Linked DNA regions of Mus musculus: regions 2, 3, 4 and 5 are each reported to be linked to region 1. The links are microRNA targets in miRTarBase. Many come from high-throughput screens and were not tested one by one. Region 1 holds a microRNA gene; each other region holds the end of a gene's coding sequence.

Evidence for each region. Region 1 holds the annotated microRNA mmu-miR-1199-5p (UCUGAGUCCCGGUCGCGCGG, at 1,682-1,701, opposite strand). A microRNA usually pairs through its seed, bases 2 to 8, with sites in the 3' UTR of a target mRNA and lowers its output. Matches are read on the target gene's strand: a 7mer-m8 pairs with bases 2 to 8, a 7mer-A1 pairs with bases 2 to 7 and ends in A, and an 8mer does both.
Region 2: miRTarBase lists Map3k20 as a target of mmu-miR-1199-5p. The part of its 3' UTR that is shown has no 7-base or 8-base seed match.
Region 3: the mRNA of A830018L16Rik is a reported target of mmu-miR-1199-5p. The part of its 3' UTR that is shown has no 7-base or 8-base seed match.
Region 4: the mRNA of Gid4 is a reported target of mmu-miR-1199-5p. Seed matches in the 3' UTR shown: 7mer-A1 at 2,611-2,617.
Region 5: the mRNA of Ttc23 is a reported target of mmu-miR-1199-5p. The part of its 3' UTR that is shown has no 7-base or 8-base seed match.

What each region holds. Positions count from the first base shown.
Region 1 is chr8:84,009,913-84,013,061 of GRCm38, forward strand. It overlaps Mir1199 (microRNA 1199), which reads right to left and starts at 1,721; the gene lies at 1,603-1,721. Misp3 (MISP family member 3) reads right to left here and starts at 1,808. Exons shown (of 3, transcript NM_001291292.1): 1 at 1,229-1,808; 2 at 799-860; 3 at 316-580. The coding sequence starts at 1,772. The coding sequence ends at 566.
Region 2 is chr2:72,441,353-72,444,352 of GRCm38, reverse strand. It overlaps Map3k20 (mitogen-activated protein kinase kinase kinase 20), which reads right to left. Exons shown (of 20, transcript NM_023057.5): 20 at 1,743-3,000. The coding sequence ends at 2,415. Among named protein-coding and RNA genes, the nearest start is that of Gm39847, 22 kb to the left of the region's middle.
Region 3 is chr1:11,974,632-11,977,631 of GRCm38, forward strand. A830018L16Rik (RIKEN cDNA A830018L16 gene) reads left to right here. Exons shown (of 14, transcript NM_001160369.2): 14 at 292-1,271. The coding sequence ends at 335. Among named protein-coding and RNA genes, the nearest start is that of Gm30898, 2.2 kb to the right of the region's middle.
Region 4 is chr11:60,441,633-60,444,632 of GRCm38, forward strand. It overlaps Gid4 (GID complex subunit 4, VID24 homolog), which reads left to right. Exons shown (of 6, transcript NM_025757.4): 6 at 347-3,000. The coding sequence ends at 410. Among named protein-coding and RNA genes, the nearest start is that of Drg2, 11 kb to the right of the region's middle.
Region 5 is chr7:67,725,699-67,728,698 of GRCm38, forward strand. It overlaps Ttc23 (tetratricopeptide repeat domain 23), which reads left to right. Exons shown (of 11, transcript NM_001168475.1): 11 at 330-878. The coding sequence ends at 444. Among named protein-coding and RNA genes, the nearest start is that of Gm34140, 9.9 kb to the left of the region's middle.

The DNA.
Region 1 (3,149 bases):
CATAGCACCTCGGTCTAGCAGCTCCCTGAACACAGAATGGTTTTGGTGCCTATAAAAACTGACATCTGGATACCAGAGTGGAGTCTGTGGGCCGGTGAGCAACATTTTGCGTTCTCACCACCAGGGGGCAGTAGGGCCCTGGCCTCCAAGCCCGGGTCCGCAGTCAGTCCAGAACAAGGAGACCAGAGCGCGTTTTGAATTCCAACATTCCGGCGGGATCCTTGGGTGGCTTTTCCAAACGTTCTTCACCTGCCAGCCTCCGCCCACCCAGACTAAGGAGGACCCAGTAGAAAATAGCTTGCACTGAAGCCCAGGTAAAGGGAGGAGGAGTTTATTTTATGTTTCACTCATAGGTTTTGCAGGGTTTCCAAGGAAGACTAGAGAATTTTATGGAGAAAGGTGGTTAATTCCATAGTCAGTATCAAAGATGGGCTGGATTTCAAGTTGCCATTAAAGAAAGCTAGCCCTTCCCTCTCTAGGCCTTCTGCTGATCTGGAGAGTAACCCTACCCTGGTTCTCCAAAGGGTATGTTACTTCTGTCCGCAGGTCCCAACCTTCATAGACCTCAGGGTCTGCGCTCCTAGAAGGAAAAGGGGAAGAGAAAGAACACCCTCAGGGAGAAGTTTGGCCTCTAGGCCTCCACCTCCTCTTCACTCTCTGGATCGCGTCTAGGACTTTTGAGTTTGGGTTAGAGTGGCGCTCCAGGGGACCAAGAGGCACCTTCTCCCTCCACCCCAGTGCCCAGGTGCTGCAGGGAGGGCTGGGAGACCGACAAGCATCGGAAAGGGAGTCTCCCACCTTCTCAGAGGCCCGTCTCCGCGGAGGCCAGATCACCGACAATTTTCCATCTCCCCTGCTCGCTGTGGGGGAAGGAACACTCAGCCGCGACTGCCCCTCCTCTTGCCAGCTGGAGGATGGCCGCACCCCTTATATACATACAGGTGTGCACCCCTCTTCCCCATGAAGGCCTCCACCCAGTTCTGAGGACCCAGGAACAGGAATGAGGCAAACTCAATGTAGAGAGGCACCCGAGTACTACAGAGGACCCGAGAACGCCAGAAGTCAAGGTTCCAAGGTCTGATGGATGTGGGGATCCTCACTCCAGGAGTGGGAGTGAAGAAAAGAAGGTGAACCCCCAGGAGAATAGTTAAGGGTCTGCAAGCCTACAGATGAATGATCACTGGAGGTGGAGACAGCTGGAGCTCTAGGGCCCAGGGGGACCGCTTACGGGTGAGGCTCGGCGCTGGCTCCTGGACCTCGGCGTCGCCGTAGATGCTGCGCCGCTGCAACTGCAGCTCCCGCTCGCGCTCGCGCACTCGTCGCACCTCCTGCTCCAGCAGTGACGGGGCAACGAGCGGTGGCAACTGCCCCAGTACCGGACAGCCGTCCTGAACGGCGGGGTGCAGCCGGCCTCCGGTCTCTGGCTGCCTCTGCAAGCCAGCGCCGTCCTCCGCCGCAGCCTCAAAGAAGCGCTTGAGTTCGTCCAGCGGCTGCGGCCGCCGCCGGGCGCTAGGCTCCGGAACCGCGGGGCTCGCCAGCGCCGCCTGCCTGTGAGCCTCGCGTTCGATGTCCCGTTGCATCTTCGCGCCCGCCCGAGCGCGCTCCAGGGCGCGCGGCAGCGGAGTACCGGAGCCGGGCCGACTGAGCACCGGCCGCACGCGCAACTCAATGAGTTCCTCGCCCGCGCGACCGGGACTCAGACCCCGGCTCCGGCGCAGGCTTTCCTCCCGCTCGCAGCTGCGGCGGATTTCGCGCTGGATGGGCGTCTCCATCTGCAATTCCGCCGGCGCCGGTTTGGATGCCGCGGGCTTCGGTAGAAAACACACCTGGAGGCCTCTGAGCCGAGACAGGGGCACAACTGCCCCAGTACCTCCGTTATACTAGTGCCAGGCGGCCCAGCTGTGGACCGCCCGGGCGCTCGGTCCGGTGCTCAACTGGCACCTGCGGGACCTGGCTCTCTGGCTCCAGAGTCTGCAAGTGCTCCTCTCCAGAGGTTTCCAGGACCTCACTGCCTCCCCCAGCAGCCCTCGGTGCCCTGGCTCTGCGGCTCCCGGAACACGTAGCCTTCAGGCGACCCCAGGACTCCACTCTCGGACACCCGAGGACATGGATGTTTGGAGTTAGGCGCCCTTTGAAAATTTTAGTTCTCAGAGCCGAATTGAGATGCCCAAATAGGTAGGACACGGTGCCCTGTGCAGTACCTGTAGTTACAGCCGCCGCCCGAGGTTCATAGGCGTCGCCAGCACTCTTCTTTGACCCGCCTCTGGCCTCCAGGAACATCCCCTGGGGGCAGGACTGGGCACCGCCCCCGTCACCTGCCAGCTGGATTCGAGTGGCCCTGGACCCGCCCTATGGGCCAGGGCGCCTCCACTGCTCTCCGGATTCCCGCCACCTGAACACACGGGTTGACTGAAGGGGTGGCTTCTTCGGAAAGGGCTTCCCTGAACTCACTACCCAGGGGGTATGTGTCGCCCTTTCCCTCTGGTACCACGCTGGCATTCTGGGGTCTTTTTTTTTTTTTTTTTTTTTTTTCATCACTTTCCGGAGACCTGACCTCTAGCGGAGCGCCGCGCTGATCGCTGAACCACGGCCTCCTTACAGAGTGTTTCCCCGGTCGTCTTTCGCTGACCTCACTAGTCTAGGTCAGCAAGTGCCAGCCTGCGGCCAGCGACACCACTCTCCTTCCCCCCGCCCCCTATCCCGTGATCTCCGGGCCTTCTCTGCACACTGATCGCTGAGGCAACACAGCTCGAGTCCAGCCCGAGGGTCGCCCGGGGCCGCCGCACTGGGTGCTGCTGCTACCCGGGGCTGCTCAGCTCTGTCTGGTTTGCAGCGGCGCTGCCGCCACTCAAAACCCTGGGGCAGATTCCCCACCCCCACCTTCCAGAAAAGCCCGCAAGGCATTGGCAGCCAAGTGTCCAGCTAGAATGAGCGGTGTTTGAGGGCACAGACATTACAGGACTTCCGGGCCTCAGCCGAGCAATTGTGGCTGGAAGGCGGTCAGCTTGGACCAGTTTGCCCAGGAGGCCCAAGATGGGGCAGAGGAGCCACCGGGTTAGCGGGAGGCAGTAGCGACCTTTGTCTGGTGCCCGATCTGTGTTTCGGGACAGGGTCGATGACCCAGAGTGAGGGCTAACCACTCGTAGAGA
Region 2 (3,000 bases), not on the chromosome of region 1:
ATTTTAAGTATATTGTAGTTTAATTTTTCTCTCTAAAGCTATATTCATGGAAAAACCAGATGAAAGCAATTGTTAACAATTCCGCTCACTTGTGGGTGCATTCATGCACATATGTCCTGTGCCCTGCTAGTGAGCCACACCCTTACAGTCTTACCTAAAAATTTCCTCTTTTTCTCTCTGTCAGTCTTATCCCCGTCCTCTTACAACTAATATACTTCCTGAAAATTATTTACTTTGTCTTCTGGGGTTGAGAATTGAACCCAAAGCCTTATGTGTGCTAAGTAGATAACTAAACCCGAGGCTGCTATGTTTTTAATTTCTGTTTTGGCATTTGGCTATTTTGCTGGAGCATGTCTTGCTAAAACCTTACAAATGTCTGATGACTAAGTATTGTTGAGAGAGAGAGAGAGAGAGTGAGAGAGAGAGAGAGAGAGAGAAGAAACAAGCAAAAAAGCACGGCCAATTCTTATTACTTCTTTACAACCCAAAACCAGACTGCAGCTGTTCTTGTTTTGATTTTGACTGGAAGCATCAATGCTGACAAGTACTTTTCCACGAGACTTTACAAAGTGGTCAGTTTGGTGGGCTGTTGCAGCAACTTTTTTAGTGACCAATCACTGTACAAAAGAAGGCTGAGACCACAGGCAGTCAGTCGCTTGAATGCCAGTTTGGATTATCTAACTCAGGGATCCACAAAAGCAAGATGGTGGCAAGGATCATGACACAACGTTCATCTGCACCAACACCTTTCAACCTGAAGCCGTGCCTCTATTGTTCTGGCTCACACCGTCCTCTGCATTCCCTTCAGAGTGACTGACTCAAGACTGTCATTGATCCAAACATTCTCAAAGAACGTGTTGCCTCTTTGGAAACAGCAGAGCAAGACGGCAAACTTTGCACAGACCTTTCTGTTTGCTTGCTACTGTTTAACATGGAAGAAAAGCCAAAGGGAAGGGGGATGCCTGGAAACAGATTCCAGCGGAGAAGACAAAGACCCAGGAGCTTTCTAAGTTGGTTAGCCATGATGAAAATGGGTACCTCATACCCACCAAGCTCATCTTGATTTACATCCCCATTGCTTTGCTTGTTCATAAGTGCAAATGGTAAATAAAATCAAGTTGTCGAGTCAACGTTTAGGTCATGACAAGTTTCCCTTGTAAAGGAAGTCATTTCCTACCATCTTGACTTTAAGGCTACAAAAATCCTTGATGATCCCAGCAGACAGATCAAATGGCACACAGTGCTTAGTATTAGTGGATGCGGAACAGGTTCTCAGCATACTGAGAGTAATGTGTGATGTGTAATATCTGTCTGATGTGTAACAGGTTTGTTGCCACCTGACTCTCTGACTTGCAAAATAGGAAGTATTTCACAATGCTTCATATCCTTGCGTGCCATGAGCTTCCTGCTCTAGGCTACAAGCAGCCCCCTCTTCTCTCCCAGCGGCGGCACACTGGCTTGCTGGTATTTACTGCCTTGCTCTAACAAGGCTGATGGTAATTTAATTTCTCCGGCTTTTAGCTTGAGATGGTGCTACCCTGCTCCGTCTGTTTTCTTGTAGAGTTCTGACATCCCAAGGATGCGGTGTGAACTGTCTCCCCACCCACCTCTCTGCTCTCTCTGTTGTGATGGTGGAAAGCATCCTGGGGACTCAGAAAAGGAACCAGCCACAAACCTCCAGGCCATTTAGATCTTTTGTCTGTTGAACCTTAATGAATGAAATAGCCACCATACAATCAACATTAACTTCAATAATCTTTTTTTTTATTACCTAAAAATGACAAGCCAAATCAGTTCAATACTGACCATGGCAGAAAACACAAATATCTCACTAAAATAAATACTAACACAGTGGAGATGAGTGAGGCACTTGCCTTGGGCACAACATTTAGGGAGGCATTTTAAAAAAATCCCTCAGCAATCAAGATAAATGATATTTTATCCCAGTAGGTTAAAAAAAAAAAAACAAAACCCCAAAATCAAAAAACAAATTTTAACTCAAGAATCGTCCACAGTGCTTTGCAGAGCCATCTTGGAACTTAGATGAAAGAGAAGATAAGATGAATCCTGTTTTGTCCAGAAATATGATTTTTCTGTGGTTCTCACTAGCTTTATCCTGGCCCCAAGCCTGCTCGAATGTTCCCAGCAGGCAATGTCATAGCCCTCCCCACCTCAATAGTAATTCAGGGGACAAAACATTGGCAGTTATTGTCAAGTTTAATTGCCACCTCTAGTTGACTGACTAACAGCCATAATTGAGGCCCTGCTTTGGTTGTCCTTTCAGTTAAAAGGTGTTTCCCAAGCCCAGAACTAGTCTTTTTTTGGTCCCTATAACCTCAAGATACCTTATTACCAAAAATCCATTGCACAAAGCACTACTAACCCGCTTGGAAAAGCGCATCTGACCCAATCCCTCAAAAATTCCGCCGCCCACGGTAGTTGCCACGGGTTCTCTCCTTGCTAGTCTTGGCCGAAAGTTGCCTGTGTGTCTTCTTCCGATATTCCACTTTAGTCCAGCCCCCTTCGCTCACCCTGCTCTCCTCTTCCCCTGCTTTGGAGGCAGTCTCAGGGTGCAGAGGCATCCCGGGTATGGTCCTGGGCACACGGCGGTCATGGTCATTTGGGCTCCTCTTGAAGTCAGGGGACTGATGAGTGTTCAGCGCTGACTGGGGCAGCCTGTAGAACTTTCCAGAATATCTTTCTCTTGAAGGTGTGGAATGCTGACTTTTCCCACCATATCTTCCTTTCGGGGAAGAATTGAGGGACACACTACCACGGTAGTACTTGTTTCTGCTTCGGTCTGAGTAGCGGCCCCTCTCGGAGGAGCTGTCATTGAGGCTGGAGAAGCCGCTGTCCCTGGAGCTGAGGTTCAGGGAGGAGAAGTTTCTGGACAGCCCATACTGCGTGGGGGAGGAGCTCCGGGAAGGGTTGATGCTTGGTGTAATCTGCTGGTACTTCACCGGAGTCTGGGTCCTCCTCACCGCAGCAGCATAGGAATCC
Region 3 (3,000 bases), not on the chromosome of region 1:
TTGCTTAATTGGTAAACCAGACATATTAGATATAATTATGACACAAAGCAAAAAAATATAAAATAACATTCTGATTAGGATTTTATTTAGATACCAACATTTATGTACTATTAAAAACACGGGCCTAATCTGGCTAATGAAGGTAAGATAAGTGCACAGCAAGATCATTGCCATGGCAGAAATACATTCAGAGTAGAAGAGAGCACTAAAGTTTCAATCTCTCCTTTGGATATGCAGTTCTATCCATGCACTGTTGAATGCATTTTATTTTTATTTTTTATTCCTCTACAGGTCTGTCTGTGAAACCGGCAAAGGAAGTTGCAAGTGGTCCTTAAGAATATTATAGCTGACTGAATCCTTACTTATTGTCCTAATTTGATGTACTAAATGTAATATCTAAAGAAATGTCATTTTCCTAATGTCAATAATAAACAAGAACTCTTGTAAGTAGGGTGTGCACTAATGTATAGTACAAGAACACTAATTCAGGCACAGCAGTCTGTTGTCTATGGGATTTGATACTCTTTGATCTGCTCAGTGTCTTGGGTTTATGTTACTTTATATGTAGTTATTAAAATAGTGCTTAAAATTTTCTGGATTTTAATTTAGCTAGGGTTTTCTACTTCTATTTTTATAATAATAGCTCATATTTTGGATTAATACACATTATACTTGCCCACATGTGCCACATTAGTCCTGTGCAGCAGTTGACTGCTTAGTGTTAACCTCTTTGCATCAGGAAGAAATTTATCCCCCACAACTGCCCCGATTTGATTATATTACCTATTCCTATTTAAATATGATGGGTATGTTACTTCAGTAAAGCAAACTAATGAATAATGAAATGCATGCCCTCAGGACACTTGCAAGGAAAAATCACTTGATTATGTATGCAATTATTGAGCTACACCTTACTTTTGGAATGTGCTTTGTACTTATTCTAAATGAATTGATATCAGTCAATCTATTGACTATATCTGCTATATTTTATCTTATTTGTCTTAATACAAGTTTTTTTTGGTGGGCTTTAATGAATTAAGGCTAAATTATACAACTCTGTATAACTGTAAAAGAAACAATTGTTAAAGACTCGACCATAGCTAAGGAATAAACAAGCAGTTTCTGACTTCTGAATTAAGTCATGTTTAAAATATAAATACAGACATTAGAAATGATGTAATAAATTTTCTTACATTTTTTTCTTGTATGATGAAACTAATTTTAGTAATAAGTATTTTTATAGATGGCAATAAATTAAAGGTTATGTATCAGTTGCTGTTCTTGGAGGTGACAACGTGACTGAGTACCATCAACCTAAAGGAGAAGGTTTTATTTTGGTCCATGTTTTTGGAGGTTTCAGAGCATGGTCTACTAGCTTCTTTGCCTGTAGTGAAGCAGATTTTCATGGCAGAAGGAATATGTGACATGAGATAACTTACTTCAAGAAGGCCCAGAAGCATAGAGAGTGACAGGCAGGAGCAACATATACCTTTCAGTGACCCACTTCCTCCAGTCAGGTCCACCTTTTAAGTTCCACTGTGTTCCGATAACCCATTAACTGTCCTTTCATAAATAGATCACCCCACTGATAAAGGTCTGAGAACTTAAGAGCCAATTGCTTCTCTAAAACCTTACTTATGGAAATGTAATTGGGAACCCTACAAATCTTGGAGTGGGGACATTTTTATGCAAATTATAACAGCTTGGAAAACAATTTTTAAGCAAAAAGCCAGAAAGTAGGAGATTGGGATTATAGGATCAGATGCCAGGCAGTGGTGGCACACACATTTGATCCCAGCACTTAGCAGGCAGAGGCAGGTGGATCTCTGTGAGTTTGAAGCCAGCCTGATGTACAGAGCGAGTTCCATGACAGCTAGGGTTACTCAGCGAAACCCTGTTGAGAGAGAGAGAGAGAGAGAGAGAGAGAGAGAGAGAGAGAGGCAGAGACAGAGACAGATAGAGAGAGAGGCAGAGACAGAGACAGATAGAGAGAGAGACAGAGACAGAGAGACAGAGAGACAGAGACAGACAGAGAGACAGAGAGACAGATGGAGAGACAGAGAGATGGAGAGACAGAGAGATGGAGAGACAGAGATTGAGATTATGAAAAGGAGTTTCAAAAATGATTCAACTGAGGATTTAATTTTTTTTTCTTGTTAAAAATTTTTGGTTTAAAATATGTCACAAAAATGTGTTTATCTGAAAGCCATGTTTTCCTTCAATAATGACATATTCAAACTTGGCTTTCCATTTGCCAACGTGCCTTATATTCCACATGAATCTCAAGAATCACATGCACCAGGAAGTAAGCATGGATATTACTGTATGCATCATGGAAGATAGACCAAGCCAGACCGTAAGTAAAACGTAAGGACAGATTCTAATGGAAAACCTACTGCTGCAAACAAAACGGAGTCTAGTGTGGACTAAACCCCGCCCCAGTTTGTACATAAGTGAATGAGCTTTTCCATGGCATAATGGGTGAGTAGAAATGGTGAGGGCTGAAGTTTGAGTACAATCAGGGAAATGGAAATTTACAAAATGTAGGACCGGAAAAGGGTGGTTCTTCCAGGTGAAACTCACCTGACTTTGCTCAAGGGTTTTTCCAAAGATACGTGTCCTAACCTATGATAGAGACAGATGGTGTAGCTGGAGCATGGCTGAACAGCTTTGCCAACTGGTACAGATGAGAAGTCCAGTAGCAACAAAGTCATAAGGTCAGTTGCAAGATATACCGCGTTAAGAGGGGAAGGAAACAGGCAATAGCTTTGAGCAAGCAAATAGTATAATTTGCCTTTTAGGAAGATAATTTCTGGGAATGGTGAGGAAATTGGTCAAAAAGGAAAAAGACTGTGATCCAAAGGAATGGTTAGGACACTTACACAATCAGAACTGGAGAGCAAATGGCACAGAAAGGGAGGAATCTAGACTAATAATTGATTAAAGATGGGAGAGAAAGGTCATAGATAGTGTTCAGATTCTAGCCAGGACACCTGGTGG
Region 4 (3,000 bases), not on the chromosome of region 1:
TCTCTCTCTCTCTCTCTCTCTCTATCTATCTATCTATCTCATGCATGCACAAAATAAAAAGAAAACAAAAATTTAGCAAAATTGAGGTTTGATGCCACATATGTTTAATCCTAGCACTGAGGTGTCAGAAGTAGATGGATCACAGTGAGTCTGAGGCCAGCCTGGTCTACATGGGGAATTCCAGGCCAGCTACAGCTACATAGTAGGACCGTCCCTTTATGTAACTGGAAATGGTTTAGCACCTCAATCTGAATATAATTGGCGGGGACTCTAGGTAGAGTTCTCCAGTTGCCTTTGTTCAGGATTCCTAAGAAAACTCTTCTATTCTGTCTCTCCTCTATTACAGGTATCAGTCCCTCAACCTGACCCATGTTCCTGAACACAGTGCACCCATCTATGAGTTCCGGTGACAGAGGTTCAGAACAGTGGCCAAATAAAACTGAACTTGGCAACAAAGAGCTTTGCGAGGAAATTATGTACCTGCCAGAACCAGGAGAGGTGTGTTCCTGTTTGTTCACGAGCAGACTTCATCAGAAAGCATGAATGTTAACCTACAGGATCCAAGGAGCATGGCCAACCTGCAGGCAGGCAGAGGGAGCTGTTCACCTCCCACCCTCCTTCCTCTCAGTGGCATTGTGGTCACCATCTGTTTCTGAACAACCTTAAATGCACTTTCCTTCCTGCACAGCTAACTTCTGCATCACTGAAATGCCATCTTTCCTCGGCCTGCCTCTAGCCAAGTGGAAGGTCAGCTCCTGGGTCACCTTAGCCTTGGTGCTCAGTGGTCTCCACCCAGGCCCTACTCCTTCCTCAGTTGCTTGTTTGGTAGCCCAAGGAAAGGGAGAGCCCAGCATCTTGTGCCCCAGAGCTCTATGTGAGTTGCCTGGGCCCAGCATATACCACCAATGAGATGAGATGGGGTCCCTGGTGGGCCTCATTGACCTTTGATTCCAGTTGATGTCTTGTAGGGCCCTGTGTGTTAACAATGCAAGACTAGCACATGGCTGTCGGGTTTTCTGGGCCTGCTGTTGGGGATCACTAAATTTAAGGCTTCCAGATCCCTGGTAGGAGTAGATCCCAAACTGCTTTCTCAGTACATTTGCTCCAAACTTCTGAACTTGAGGGCAATACTAAATAAAAGAGTTTTTTATTACAAAATTATTATTTTTATGGTACCTTTAACAAGGACCCTATGGCAAATGCACAATTATTCCGAATTACATTTATCGTTTTCACATTGAAAACAGCAAATGTTGACGTAGTGACTTTTATATCTATGTCTATATGTATATTTAATCAACCAGCAGTTTTGAAACAGGTCATCCTGGTACAGAAGTTTTGCAGCATTGCTTAAATCACAGTGCTAAACACAGGAACTGTTTCCGGGCCGGCTGAGCATTTGCGCCTCCTCCTTTTGCTACTCAAAACATCAGTGTGTCATGACAACCTTTTCCAAAGGCAGAGGGGGCCCCCATTCTCCGGAAAGGATGACTGAAATGTTGTCATGGCGTGGGCAGGAAGAAATGCACTCAAATAACTCGAGGCTCATGTGCCAAAGTGTGAGAGAGGGGAGTGGTTTGGTTTGGTTTGGTTTGGTTTTTCTAAATGTTTAAAAAGCTTAATAGATTGGCATCAGTTGTAGTCCACAATATTGTCAGGACTTTGGGGAATTCTGGTGGTTTACAGGTCCAAACACAAGGGGAAAAGCTTTAAAATAAATACAGCATCAGGGCTGGGAGTGCAGCTGACCAAGCACTAGCTTGTCACATATGAGGAAGGACCTGGCTTCCATTTCCAGTGCTGGAAAAAGGGAACACCAAGGGGTAGCAGGTTGGCTGCTGTTGTATTGTGCTGTGTGTTACTAATACTGAATATCTGGGAACCTTAAGAGAGCAGAAGTGGGGAAAGAAACCAGCAGGTACTTGGCAATATCCATAGCCCCAAAACTTACCCAGTCAGTAAAGCTGGGGCTCAGAAACCATAACAATACATCATCCCAAGACTTAGGTAGAAGAAAAGAATCCACATCCATCGCTAGGGCTGAATCAGTGGTTCCTTACCCTTGAGAAGCAGCCTGGGTACGGCAGTGCACCTCGAGGCCCAGCTGCTCAGAAGCCTGAGCCCAGGAGAAAGGGTCAGTCTAAGGTGAACCTAAACTTCATCTGACATCAAAACTCAACTGAATATGAGATGGCCGGCTCTGGTCAGAAGCACCTGGCTTACACCACAGGCCACCATCGCTTCACTTAAGCTGAGGGGCAGCACTGGAGAGTGAAGGAGGCAGAAAGACTGACTGCTGGCTTTTCCCTGCAGCACCTGCTCCTCTGGCTTTCCACCATGCTATTGAACCATTGTGTGCTGGGCAGGTATCATTCAGCAGTGGATGGAGTCACCCTGAAGCTAGGGCTCGTGTGTAGCTCTAGTAGCACGTCAGTGAACAGCCTCTCCTCTAAACTGGGCAGGCCAGGTCGGAGCATAGGGGTTCCCCCTACACCCCCCTTTTGTTCCTTTGATCTCTTTGTCTTCAGGGTCTCACTTTGTAACTCTAGCTGGCCTGGAGCTCACTTTGTAGATCAGGCTGACCTTGAACTCACTGAGATCCACCTGACTACTCAGAGCGAGTACTAGGACTAAAGGTGTGAGCCACCACACCCTGCTTTTTTTTTTTTTTTTTTTCTTAGCTAGGGAAGTGTTCCAGCTCTACTTAGAAAGATGAGGGAAGGATGCCTTTAGCAGACAGACTTCAGACCTACCTGAAGACTTGCTGCTTAGAAGTCTGCCCCTGAACACTGGGCAGGAATAAACATGTTCCACTTCTTAGTAACTCCTAGCTGGTGGACAGTGACTTCTTTTCCTTTTCTGTCCCTGGAGGACCTCTGGGACTTGTCTCCATTGGTAGCTCTTTAACCAGCTGCTCAGTGGCTTGCATGCCTCTGGTCCTGTGTGCAATATCTTTGCCTGGCACTTGTATCTAACATTGAAAAATAGGTGCAGACTGCA
Region 5 (3,000 bases), not on the chromosome of region 1:
TATTCCCTGAGAGGATATGGACTGAGGATCAAGTCCAGGTCAGGAAAGTACAGCAGTGGCTTTCACTGGAGGCACCCTTTTAGGGCAGCGTAAGTGGGTCAACAACGCTTCCCGTCAGGACTTGACAGTATTTTCCACTCTCATTCCACGGATGACCTACCTAAGACCTGATTTGCCTCAGCTCGGTGAGCATGGCTGCAAGGCATTAAGAGAGGAGAAGCACGCCTTGTGTTTGATGTTCTTGGGCCATGGGTCTCCTCTGCATCCCCTCCTGAGGCTTCTTCCCAACAGCAAAGGCCCTCGCTCACCGGTCTCCCTTCCGTCTACAGGATCTCCGAGGCTGCCGGGAAGTCAAGGCAATCGGTGAAAGCCAAAGTAGCATTCTGCACCAGTGCCCCCCAGTACGGCATGCCAGGGAAGGGCAGGCACAGTGTAGCAGACTGATGCGCCCATGTGCCGCCCCAAAGAAAGCTCCAAGAAAGACTTGGCATTGCTTGTAGGATGCTGAACAAACCTCTCTCCAGCTCGAAGGTGAAGTTCAGCAGCCACTGCAGGTTTTTAAGGCTGTTTACTTCAGAATGCAATGGCAGTACCATGAATCTTCCACACCCCAATTGTGAATGCCCTTTGGGGTGATATGGTGCTCTTGGTTATCTTCTTTCACCAAGGAGACTCTCCTCTGTCATCTCTGCCGTGGCTGAAACACTCTTCCCAAGTTGGAGCTTCTTGACAGGAAAGGAGACTCACCTGGTGACAGGCAGGGCTCCTGCTCCATCCAGAGCCACATCTGGGGCAGCGAGACCCTGCACAAAGCCTCCCTCGTATGAAAGTAATAGTAACTGAGAAGAAACTACCAATAAAGAGATGCTTGTGCTAGCAGCAGTTTGTGTGTTTGAAATGAAGACTGGAGCTGGCAATGCTGCCCCGGGACAGAGCGCTTGCCTGGACTCCATGGAGCCTGCTATGGTTTAAATGCGAAATGTCTCTCATAGGCTCGTATATTTGAACACTTGGTTCCCATTGCTGAGAGGCCTTGAGGCAGGAGTCCAGTTGGATGAACTGTGTCACTGGAGGTGGGCTCTGAGGTTTCTTAGCCTTAGTCCCATTTTCTATGCACTCTCTGCTTCCTGATGGCAGACTCAGTGGGACTAGCTGGTGGTGCCTCTGCCACCTGCCTTCCTCACCATTGTGTGTGTGTGTGTGTGTGTGTGTGTGTGTGTGTGTGTGTGTGTGTGTGTGTAAATATGCACACACACACCCCTACCTGCCTTCCATCTAAAAGCCAAAATCAACCCTTTGCTTCTTATTGGCTGTTTGAGCAACCAGCATTATTTTTCTCATTGTAAGGATAAAAAGAATAGCATGGAAAACAGGCACTGGAATAGACCCACAGCCATGGTCCGGCTGACTGCAGGTCTCCGGTGTTTGGAATTGATCTGCAGGAATAATATGGAAGAGTGTAGAAGTATGGGCAGGGGAGCCCCTCAGAAGCTGAAAGCAGATCTCAGAAGACCATCCTAGGGGTGGGGGTGTCTAGATGACCAGGATGTTATGACAAATCCTGACACTAGAGGAGAATAAGGACTCTGTTAAGACCTGGGCTACATTGTCCTACATTACAACAAGGAATCTGTCTGCATTCTGCGCATGTGCCAAGACCTCATATACCTAAAGTATATGTACTTGAGACCTCATGGTCATGTAGTGGACTACTGTGTTTGATGGGTGAGCCTCTAAGACACAATTGCAGTCAGGTGTGGTGGAGTTGCTCACTGTTCTTATCCAGAGAGCTACAAGTGGAACAGAGGGATGGAGGGTGCAGCATCTGGTGGGGAAAGGAATGGGCCTAAAATTAGAGATAGGGTCGGTACAAAAGCAGCCTGGAAGTTAAAGTGATTAGCTGCCCCTTTAAAAAGAAATCTAGTGTTCTTTACTGGGACACTAGGAAAGCTGTCCTGAGGGCAGAACCCCACCCACTAAAGGCTCCAAATCTGGAAAAAGCAAATGTATTTGAAGGTTGTTAAGAGAGCCTGAACTGAGAATGTAGGGGGCCCTGCTTAGAAATGAATACCTGGAAATAGAGACCTGAGTGACTGTGGTCCAAGTGGGCCAGATTGTATTGCAAGGTGGCAGTGGGACATGACGACATTATTGTGCAAATATGCGAAACTCAAGTGGGGGAGGTGGGTCACAGAAGTTGGCACCAAGGCTCTGAAAGGCACTGAGGCCATTGTGTGCTGTAACAGTGACGCCTGAGCTGTGATGGAGACCTCAGGATGCTGGAGACACCAGGACCACACAGGAGGCGTCAGCTGAAGGACTCTGCAGCAGACTCATGCTGTCCTATAAGAGACCATGAGCTTCAGGCTGCAGAACTGTAGCAGCAGGTATACCCAAGCTCTTCAGAGCCCAAATGCTTCTACTGTGAGCCTCGGGTATGTAGAGCTGAAGGGTTTGGTATTTATTTGCCCTGCTGGGTTTTGATCTTACTTTAGTATGACCTTCCCTTGTTATGGAGTGGGAAAACTCTGTGCTGCTGATGTTGGAAGTATGATTTCCTCCTTGGACTGAATACATGTTGCATTATGAAATGGCCATGGGCCTCTGGAGACAGGGGCAAAACGCTGTGGTTTGATTGTGAAATGCCCCCTATACAGTTGTATGTTTGAATATTTTGTCCCAGGATAGGTTGGGCCTAGAGGAAGTGGATCAGTGGGGGGTGGGCCTTGAGGTTTCATCACCCCACCCCATATCCCGCCTACACTTTGCTTCCTGACTGTGTTTGCAGTGTGGCCAACCACCTCAGATTACGGCTGATCTGCCCTCACTGCCATGATGGGCTGTATCCCCTCGAACTGTAAGCCAGAACCAGCCCTTCTTCCTTGTTTCTTGTCAAGTATTTGATCACAACCATGAAAAAAAAAGTAACTAAGAGGTGACCCTCAGCTTGACCTCCAGAAGTGCCAACAAATGCTTGCACTCCGATGCATCACCGGATGA